2 linked regions of the Ovis aries genome follow. The protein of the gene in region 1 purifies or fractionates together with the protein of each later gene. This does not show direct contact. Links are inferred from orthologs where the notes say so. Each region holds a gene or a part of one and is shown in the gene's direction. Other genes may lie near its edges.

Region 1 (4,133 bases):
TTAAAGCCGAAAGTACTAGCAGGCTTTAGAATTTATATATAATTAATAATGTGTCCAGCGGTGGACGCTTCGGAGCATTTTCAGAGACTATAAACAACAATAAAAATAATAGAGTGATCAGACAACACGTACTCAAGGATAGAACCTTCAGCCCCACCGGCTTTAACCTCAATTGTTTTCCCAGCCAAATATTCTTCCCACCCTCCCGGCAGGATCCCGGGGGTCGTCCCATCTGTCAGTGACGGCTTCTGAGAAGCGGTCCGGGGAGGGCTATTATCTCCAGGAACCCGTCCTGTCAACTTTGTACTCGAGTCCCCTTTGTCGGTTGGTAGCGGCCGCTATTGCTTTAAAAGGACAGCAGATTTCGAAACAGGGAGGAAGGGTGGCTGGGGGTGGCGGTGGTCAGGAAAAGGAACTCAACCGCCTTTGATAACTGCCCAGCCGCCTTCCCTTCTCCAGGACGCGTGCTCGGCCCGGCAGCGCCCGCATCCCCGGCCCGGCGGGTGCGCGCGCGCGCACCTAGCGTTTTCGGGGCGCCCACCTCGGCGGGGAATTCCCCCCCGCGGCCGGGCGGGCATCTGCGGGCAGCAGCCCCGCTTTGTCTCCGGCGGCGTCGCGCTCCGCCGCTCGCCCGCTCGCCCCTTTTCCCCGGTGCGGGCTGTAACCCGATCTCCCATTTCCTGGTGGATTCTCTTAAAGAGGCCGCGGTCGAGAAGCAGAACAAAGGCTATTGTTTTATTTCCTCCTTCGGGTTCCGCGTCCTTACCGGAATGTCCCTTCCTATATAATTATTTTCATTGCGTCCGCGCTCGGCTCGGGGTGGCGGGAGGGGGGACGGAGGAAAAATTAAAAAAAAAAAAAAAAAAAGCCCTGTGCCTTTCAGTGTATCTAAGAGACGGAACTAGGGGAGGGGATCGGATCAACGCCTCGTTGATCCTGTCCGGAGGGTTCTGGGGCCCCGAGGCGCGAGCCCGGCAGCGGCCCGGCGGAGCTTAGCAGCCCCGCGCCCGGGCCCCGGGGGCCTAGCGCACGGTCCCCCGCCCCCCGGCCGCCGCGCCGCCTCTCCCCCCCCCCCTCCCCCGCGCGGCTTTTATTTCCCGATGCCGGGCTGTAACCCGAGCTTTTATTTCCTGGTGGCTCCTTTAAGAGGCAGAGCTCAGTGCTGGGAATTCACGTCAGTTTCTGCACTGAAACTCTCAAGATCAATGAGCAAAGAGCTTTCTCAGTTCTGCCTTTCAGTTTCTCTCTTCCAGGAAGGAAAACATTCGAGAGAGAGAGAGGGAGGGCGAGGGAGAGCGGCGGGAGGGCGGGGGGCGGGGGCGCCGGCCCGGGTGGGAGGAGAGAGCGGGGCAGGCCGGCCGGGCTAGCGCCCCGGGTCGCCGCGCCGCGACCTGCAGACCCCGCCGCCGCGCCGCCCGCTCCCACGCCCCCGCCACCCCGCGCGCGGCGACTCGGCCGGCGCCCGGCCCGCCCCGCCCCGCCCCGCGCGCTCGCGGCCCCCCGGGGCGGCCGCCGGGAGAGATGCTGCAAGAAACTTCTTAAATGACCGCGTCCGGCTGGCCGTGGAGCGTTTCTGGGTTGGGGAGAGGAAAGGAAAGTGGAAAAAAAACTGAGAACTTCCTGATCTCTCTCGCTGTGAGACATGTCTGAGACTCCTGCTCAGTGTAGCATTAAGGTAAAGATCTTCTCCCCCTCCCTCTCCGGGGTGGAAAGCCTTGAGCTGCACCGGCCCGGCTGATCGTGCCGGGCTCCTCCGATCCGAGGGGGCTGTTGCAGTCGCTCTGTTCGCAGGAAATTATTTGGGGCGCCGGGGAAGGAGATGCAGCTCTCGGCGGCGGCGTACCCTCTAGTGTAACCTTGCTGCTTCCCCGCTCCCGCCGAGCCCCGTGTCGGCTCCTGCGCCCCCACCCCACCTCCTTTGCTTTTTGACAAGGAAATGCCGGTCACAGTCGGTCAGGAGGAACCCGAGTGGTCCTCAGGTCTGCAAAACACCCCGGTAATTAGTGCGCTTAAAAAAAAAAAAAAAGCCTGCTCCCTACTCCTACTCCCAACATGTGATCGAAATGTAACTTTTGTTCCCGAGGGGTGGTCTCCTTAGAAAAAAAAAAAAAAAAAGCTCTCCGGCTCCATTGGGGTTGGAATCTTTTTTTTAAGGGTTCCGCGAGTCTGGTCAGACAGTCTCTCCCCCCCCCCACCCCCCTGCCGCCCCATTGTAATTGCAGGCGCTTGTCGGAGAGACAGTAGTGCTGTCAGCTTTTCCTGGGCATTGCACAATGAATTTCTTTCTTTTCTTTCTTTCTTTTTTTTTTTTTTTTAAACCAAGGTGAATAAAGTTGCTGAATGGTTATTTTACTCTCGTAGGCATCTGAACGTTGAGCAATCCAAAAGTAGAAAACTCTTGTCATGCAGGGAGAATGATTGAAGTGACCAGGCAGAATGACCTTCCCACTTTGACAGTGCAGAGAGGGTAGCTAAGAGTAGAAATCTCCCAGTCTCTGGCCAAGGTTTGCAGTCTGGTAAATGCAGGATGGTGGAGGATGTTTGCAAACACAGTACTTATCTTCCAAGTAGTGGTGTGTGTGAGCATTTATGTACATGTCTGTATGTCTGTAAAGGCTAGTGGTGCTGCGGTTTGTTGCTTCTAAAAAGTTGTTGTAAAGTTTGCCACCGTGAGGAGGCACACTGATCTGTCCATCTCCCCCAATTAATTTTCCCTTCCCTGCGTTCCGTGTGCACTTTCATTTCACTGTTCCATCAGTGCTCAGATGGAAAAGCCTTCTTCAGTGAGAAGCTGAAGCTGCTGAAGTTTTGTTTGTGGCTTGGCCCATTTAATATGTTCATTGAGGGGACCCTGCAGAGACAATGAACAAATAACCAGTTTCCTTCATCCATGGGGCATTTTGGGAAACGTCTCTTCTGTTTTAAATGGCATTTACATAGGATCTGTTTAGAGGAAAACTCAGCATTTTCTCATATTTACTCATTAGGGTTTCATAATTATACTTAGGTGTTAGTATTTCTTATCAGGCGCAATTTCTCAGGGGGTTTGAATTAGGGTTAATGTGAACTGAAAAGGTGGGTTGGGATTGTTTTTGCCTCGCACAAAAAGCGCTTAGTGGAACTTTCAGGTTTCTGTGTAGATATCTGGGGATAGCACTATGTCTCCGGTGGAGAGGATGTCAGAGTAAAGAATTTAGGTAGGTTGATACTTTAAAACCAATTTCTTTTGCTGAATAAATTCGATTCTATGAGTTCAGGATAATCCTTGGGTATGCCTAATCTATCTGATACTTCATAACACAAAGGTAACTAAATAATAGGATATTAAATCTGTAAATTGTATTTAGCTCAACGACAATAAATCTGACCTCAGGAGACCTTGAACAACTATGGGAGAGTGATTTTGGAGTGGAGACAACGAAAAGCAAGCTGTTTTGTGGCTTGCTAGCTCTTCTAAAAAGACTGCGTAAGCCCGCTGTTCTGAGAGGCTCGGGGCTGCAGGCAGAAATACCAATGAGGGGTTCATCTCATGGTACCTCAGTGGACGACTACAGCAACTCCTTTCTTACATGCACAGAGGGAACCAATCCCAAACCCAGACGGCACAGTCCCTTAACTGTGACCTAAAAATTGCAGCCACGGTTTGTGTTATCATTTTCTATCTTATCGTTTACCCTCTCCATTCTTTTGGAAAGCCTCTTTTGTTGACTTCTGTATTTCTCCGTAATTAGAACAGATCCAGTGGTCTTCCCTAGTAGTGAAAGTATCACTTTTAATTTGGATTGTCCTTTATGGAACCGGTCTGCAACTGCTTACTTGGACTGTGCATATGTTTAAACGCACGGGAAGTGCATTTTCTCATGGCGTTTGTTTAGTTTGCAATGTTCCAGTAAGAAACTCTGGAGATCAAGGACTGGGATTATTCTAGCTCGTCTGAAAATGTTCTGGTGATTGTGTGCGGTGTTTCCCTGAGTCCCTGGGATGTGGTGCAATGACTGCAGGATAAAAAATGTTTGCCGGGAACCCACTAGTACAGCGATTTTTTTTTTTTCCTAGAGTCCAGTAAACAATAAAGTTTTCTGTGGAGTAGAGAATGAGTGTCAGGAGCTTTAAAGGATGAGCTCATGGCTCTG
Region 2 (3,988 bases), about 700 kb from region 1:
AGTTATGAGTGTCAAATCTGACTGTGAGCAGCACTTGGTGAACCTCAGTGTTACTACGATATTGAGTACCACTGCTGGAGTAGCTCCAGCTCCGCGCCACCTGCCCACAGTAAGGTTGAGTGACAGGTGGATGGATTGCTGCTGATGGCTCCTTTAGGTTAACTCTCAGTGGTGCCATCCCAGCTTCACCCGCACCCCCCACCCCCAAGCTGCCACGTGATTCCAAGGGCTTCTGGGCCGTTACTCCTGAACGCCCAGTGAAAGGCGGCTGCTGCGGCGAGCAGCCGGCCAGAGGCTGTGCAAAATCGAGTCTGAGATTCCGAGGAATCTTTTCCTCCTCAATCTGAGAGCGGATCGTCACAACATGCCAGACATTCATCACTAAACGCAGTTTGCAAAATCCTAGCACCGTTCTGCCCACCGTCCCTTTGCTTTGTTAGGTGCTGACGCATTTATCTTGGAATTTTATCTGCCGGGTTAGAAATCCTTTAGTCCTTGGGGGGGGGGGGGGGGGGGGCAGTCTGTAGTTCTGGGAAACCAGGAGAAAATTAAAAAAAAAATTCAGTTTTCTGTTGGCGTTTGAATACCCTTCACCAGATCCATGTTGAAAGCCGATGGAAGCAATATTAGTTTTCATTTTCCTTAAAAAAAAAAAAAAAAGATGCTTAAACAGATTTCCAACCCTGGGACTAAAGTCATGCCTCGTATCGGGATCTAGGTGAATCTCCGAGCGTGGACCTGCGGCTCTGCAGGCCCAGCCAGCCGTCTCCTGCCGCCCACCTTGGCCCCGGCCCAGGTGGCGGCCGGCGTGGACCTGGAGCCTCACCTGGCTCGGTCGGCGGCGGCCGCACAAAGAGCGGCGCAGGCGGCTGCCGGGCCGAGCCGCAGAAAGTAGTCCCGACCACGCCGGCTCCCGATGTTGTTCGACGTCGCTTCACGCCCTCCGCGGGGAGGGCCGAAGGGTCCGGCCCGGGAAAGAATCCCTTCGGAATGCGCCACTGGGCGGCCTGTCCCCTCTGGCCCGCTTCTACTGGTCCCGCAGATCTCCCGGGGTCTCCTCGCCGAGGCTGTGCGCACGGTTTCCTCTCCTTTTCTAACCTGCCCGGGAGGCGGCACCGAGGGAGGGGAGGGCTCGCCCGCGCGCAGGGAGACCTCGGCGGCGATCCGTGACGGTGGGAGGCGTATCCCTGCGCCGCTGCGTGAGAGGAAGAGGCTGAATGAGGAGCTGCGCGGGGGAAGCGGGGCGCCGGGGGAGGAGGCGGCGGGATGGAAGCAGACGCTGGCGTCGCGCGAGCTCCGGGCGGAGCGGCGCGGTAGAGAGGGCGGCGGCGGCGGCAGCGCGCGCGGAGCCTTGACGGGCCCCCTTTTCTTTCTTCTCTCTGGAAAGCTGGGAAGCATGAGCGTGCAGACCTGCCGCTGCGGCGGCCGCCCCGGCTCCTCGCCTCCCCCTCTTCGGGCCGCCCCTCGCCGGTGAGAGAAGCGAACGCGAGCAGGGAAGATGGGGGCCGTCCTGAGGAGCCTCCTGGCCTGCAGTTTCTGCGTGCTCCTGAGAGGTGGGAGAGAAAGCGGGGGGACGGGAAAGTTGGTGGGGTTTGCGGGAGGGAAGGAGGGGGTCTCGTTCTGTTGTGTCTACGGAGGGGAGGGGAGGGTGGGGGAGGCGAAGCTGGGGAAGGAGTTGGGAGAGGCCTGGTCGTGGGGAAGGAGGGAGCAAGGGGCCCGGGAGAAGGGGCTGCGCGCTCCGCCCGGCCACGCTGCAGCCCCCGCCTCGCTTGCCCCACCGCGTCCGGACAGAGCGTTCGTCCGGGCTGCCTGGCGGGGTGACCTCCCCCCGGAGCCCCATCCTGTCCGAGTGACTGGAGATCGGTGGGTCTCCTGCCTGCAGTCACCGGGGACGAGGGGCTTTGTATGGATCTTGGCTCTCGGAACGTTGGAGCCCAAGATGCTTCAGCGCTTGGATTTCTCCCTCCAAGCCCCCACCTTTTCCCTGTGGGTCCCGTGAACTTTTAGAGCCCTCTTACTATTTTTTCCAGGCCTTGTAGCAACTAATAACTGGTTTCCGTGGAGGATGTAATGATCGTGGGTGAGAGCATAGTTGGAAAGGGACTCCGAGGTTATAGGTCGAGTGTTTTCAGCCTTGGGGAATCGCCTGGGCTCCAGCCCGTAATAAAATAGAAACGTTGCCCTTGCAACCTCTGGCATTCAGGACTTGCCCCTATTTTCGGAGCATGCAAGTGTACAGTTGGCACCAAGTAGGAAAGTCATCCTTGGTGGAGAGGAGCCTGTCCTGGGACCTAAGTTATCATCTGCTGCGCTCCCCTGGAGACTGCGTGGCACGTTGGTAAATAACATAGGCTATTCTAGGTAATTTGCCCTGAGAATCGCGTAAATTCAATGGTCCCAGGTTTTGTTTTTTAGATTGGCCTGCGAAACTGTCACACATGCTGCGACTTTTTTGTGACAGTTCACTGAGGTTTTTGACTGGCCTGCAAGATTTCAACAGCTCTTCTCACATCAGTGGTGAAGTGGTGATGACTCTGATGCTATGGGGCATTTACCAGCAGAGGAATTTAAGTACCAATTGATGGAATGACTTGAAGCTTTGGTTTCAGTTAACAATTCTCGCTTGTGTTCACGGTCAGTTCTTTTCAGGTATGGGACCTCTTGGGTCTAAGGAGATTTTTAGCTGTTAATTTAATAGGCTAAATTTATGTTCAATGTGCACACTTACTTTAGTTTCCAGAACACAATAGTAACAGTCTTGTGTTATAAATGAGCTGGATATGCCATTTCTGAGTATATGTTTATTGGATAAGCGTGATTGACATTGTTTTGGAGGAGGAATTTTTTTCTTTAGTTACACTTCAGGATTATTCAGGGAGATCCCCTGGAGAAGGAAATGGCAACCCACTCCAATGTTCTTGCCTGGGAAATCCCATGGACCAAGGAGTCTGGCAAGCTACAGTCCTTGGGGGTCACAAAAGAGCTGTTGATTTAACTGAGACACAGCTGAAGTGACTGAACAGCAGCCGCAACAGCAGGATTATTAGGTCTGCCTGTTTTATATACTTATACTTAATTACAACTCATTGTAAGCGTATTCTAAACTATTTCCACGTGTAAACTTTAGAAAGCTAGTGCTTATTTTATTTTCTTGGCAGAGAATTGGATGTAGTGGTATGTACTTGAGAGGTCTAGTAATTATATATTCATTTTAGTATGATATAGTTCCTATTGAAGGGGATTTTGCTATAGTTGTGAGAAACAATTTTATTTGACATAGAATATGGGTATATTTTAAGACAGAAGGTTAATAGAATTAACAAATAGAGTCCCCTGTTGGGTTAAAGCCTTGGTGAAATTGCATTCCATTACCCAGATGCTTCTGGTTGCCCAGTTGTATTTCTTGGAAGAGGAGGTTATGTTGTAAATGCCACTTGTTTAACACCAGAATTGAGCCCAGAATTGAGTTTATTCATTATTGGAGTTAAGAGAAGTTACATTTGAAATAATATTGTGACGTATGATATTATGTAAGAAGACCTAGAAAAGTTAATAGTGCAAATTGCTTCATTTCCACCAACAGAATTTCCAAAAGTGAAGCTCTTATTTTAAATATAGTCTAATCATGGTTTAAGGTGGCCTTTGAATTTAACATACTTAACCATGGGTATATATTTGAACTAAAACTATTTTTACTGTGAAAGATTTTTATTCATAATTTAGGTTCTTCTCATTCCTTGATAATGTCATCCTCTTAAAATTGTGTTATTAGTTAATCTTGGACTCCAGGGAGAAGTGATTACTTTGTTGTATTAAGATCACTTGTTGTATTAAGATCACTTTTCTTCACAGAAGAGTTGGAGGTTTAACATTGGGAAGATGGGATGATGGGAGAGTTTGGGAGACCTTTGGTCCTCTGGCCCAGTTAAATCAATAGCTGAAAGCCGGGAAATAATGCTATCATTATCTGGACTGTGTCCTCATCCTT

Evidence for each region.
Region 2: the proteins of ETV6 (region 1) and LRP6 purify together in Homo sapiens (affinity purification with mass spectrometry; 3 studies listed by BioGRID and IntAct, counting the BioPlex papers as one, with this or other methods). This does not show direct contact. The link is inferred for Ovis aries from reciprocal best matches to the Homo sapiens genes ETV6 and LRP6.

The regions. Positions count from the first base shown.
Region 1 is NC_056056.1:203,890,605-203,894,737, reverse strand, and holds the start of ETV6 (transcription factor ETV6), read left to right. Parts: upstream 1-1,329; 5' UTR 1,330-1,642; coding exon 1,643-1,675; intron 1,676-4,133. UniProt on the Homo sapiens protein: Transcriptional repressor; binds to the DNA sequence 5'-CCGGAAGT-3'. Plays a role in hematopoiesis and malignant transformation.
Region 2 is NC_056056.1:203,192,328-203,196,315, forward strand, and holds the start of LRP6 (low-density lipoprotein receptor-related protein 6), read left to right. Parts: upstream 1-1,181; 5' UTR 1,182-1,387; coding exon of another isoform or gene 1,388-1,498; coding exon 1,499-1,553; intron 1,554-3,988. UniProt on the Homo sapiens protein: Component of the Wnt-Fzd-LRP5-LRP6 complex that triggers beta-catenin signaling through inducing aggregation of receptor-ligand complexes into ribosome-sized signalosomes.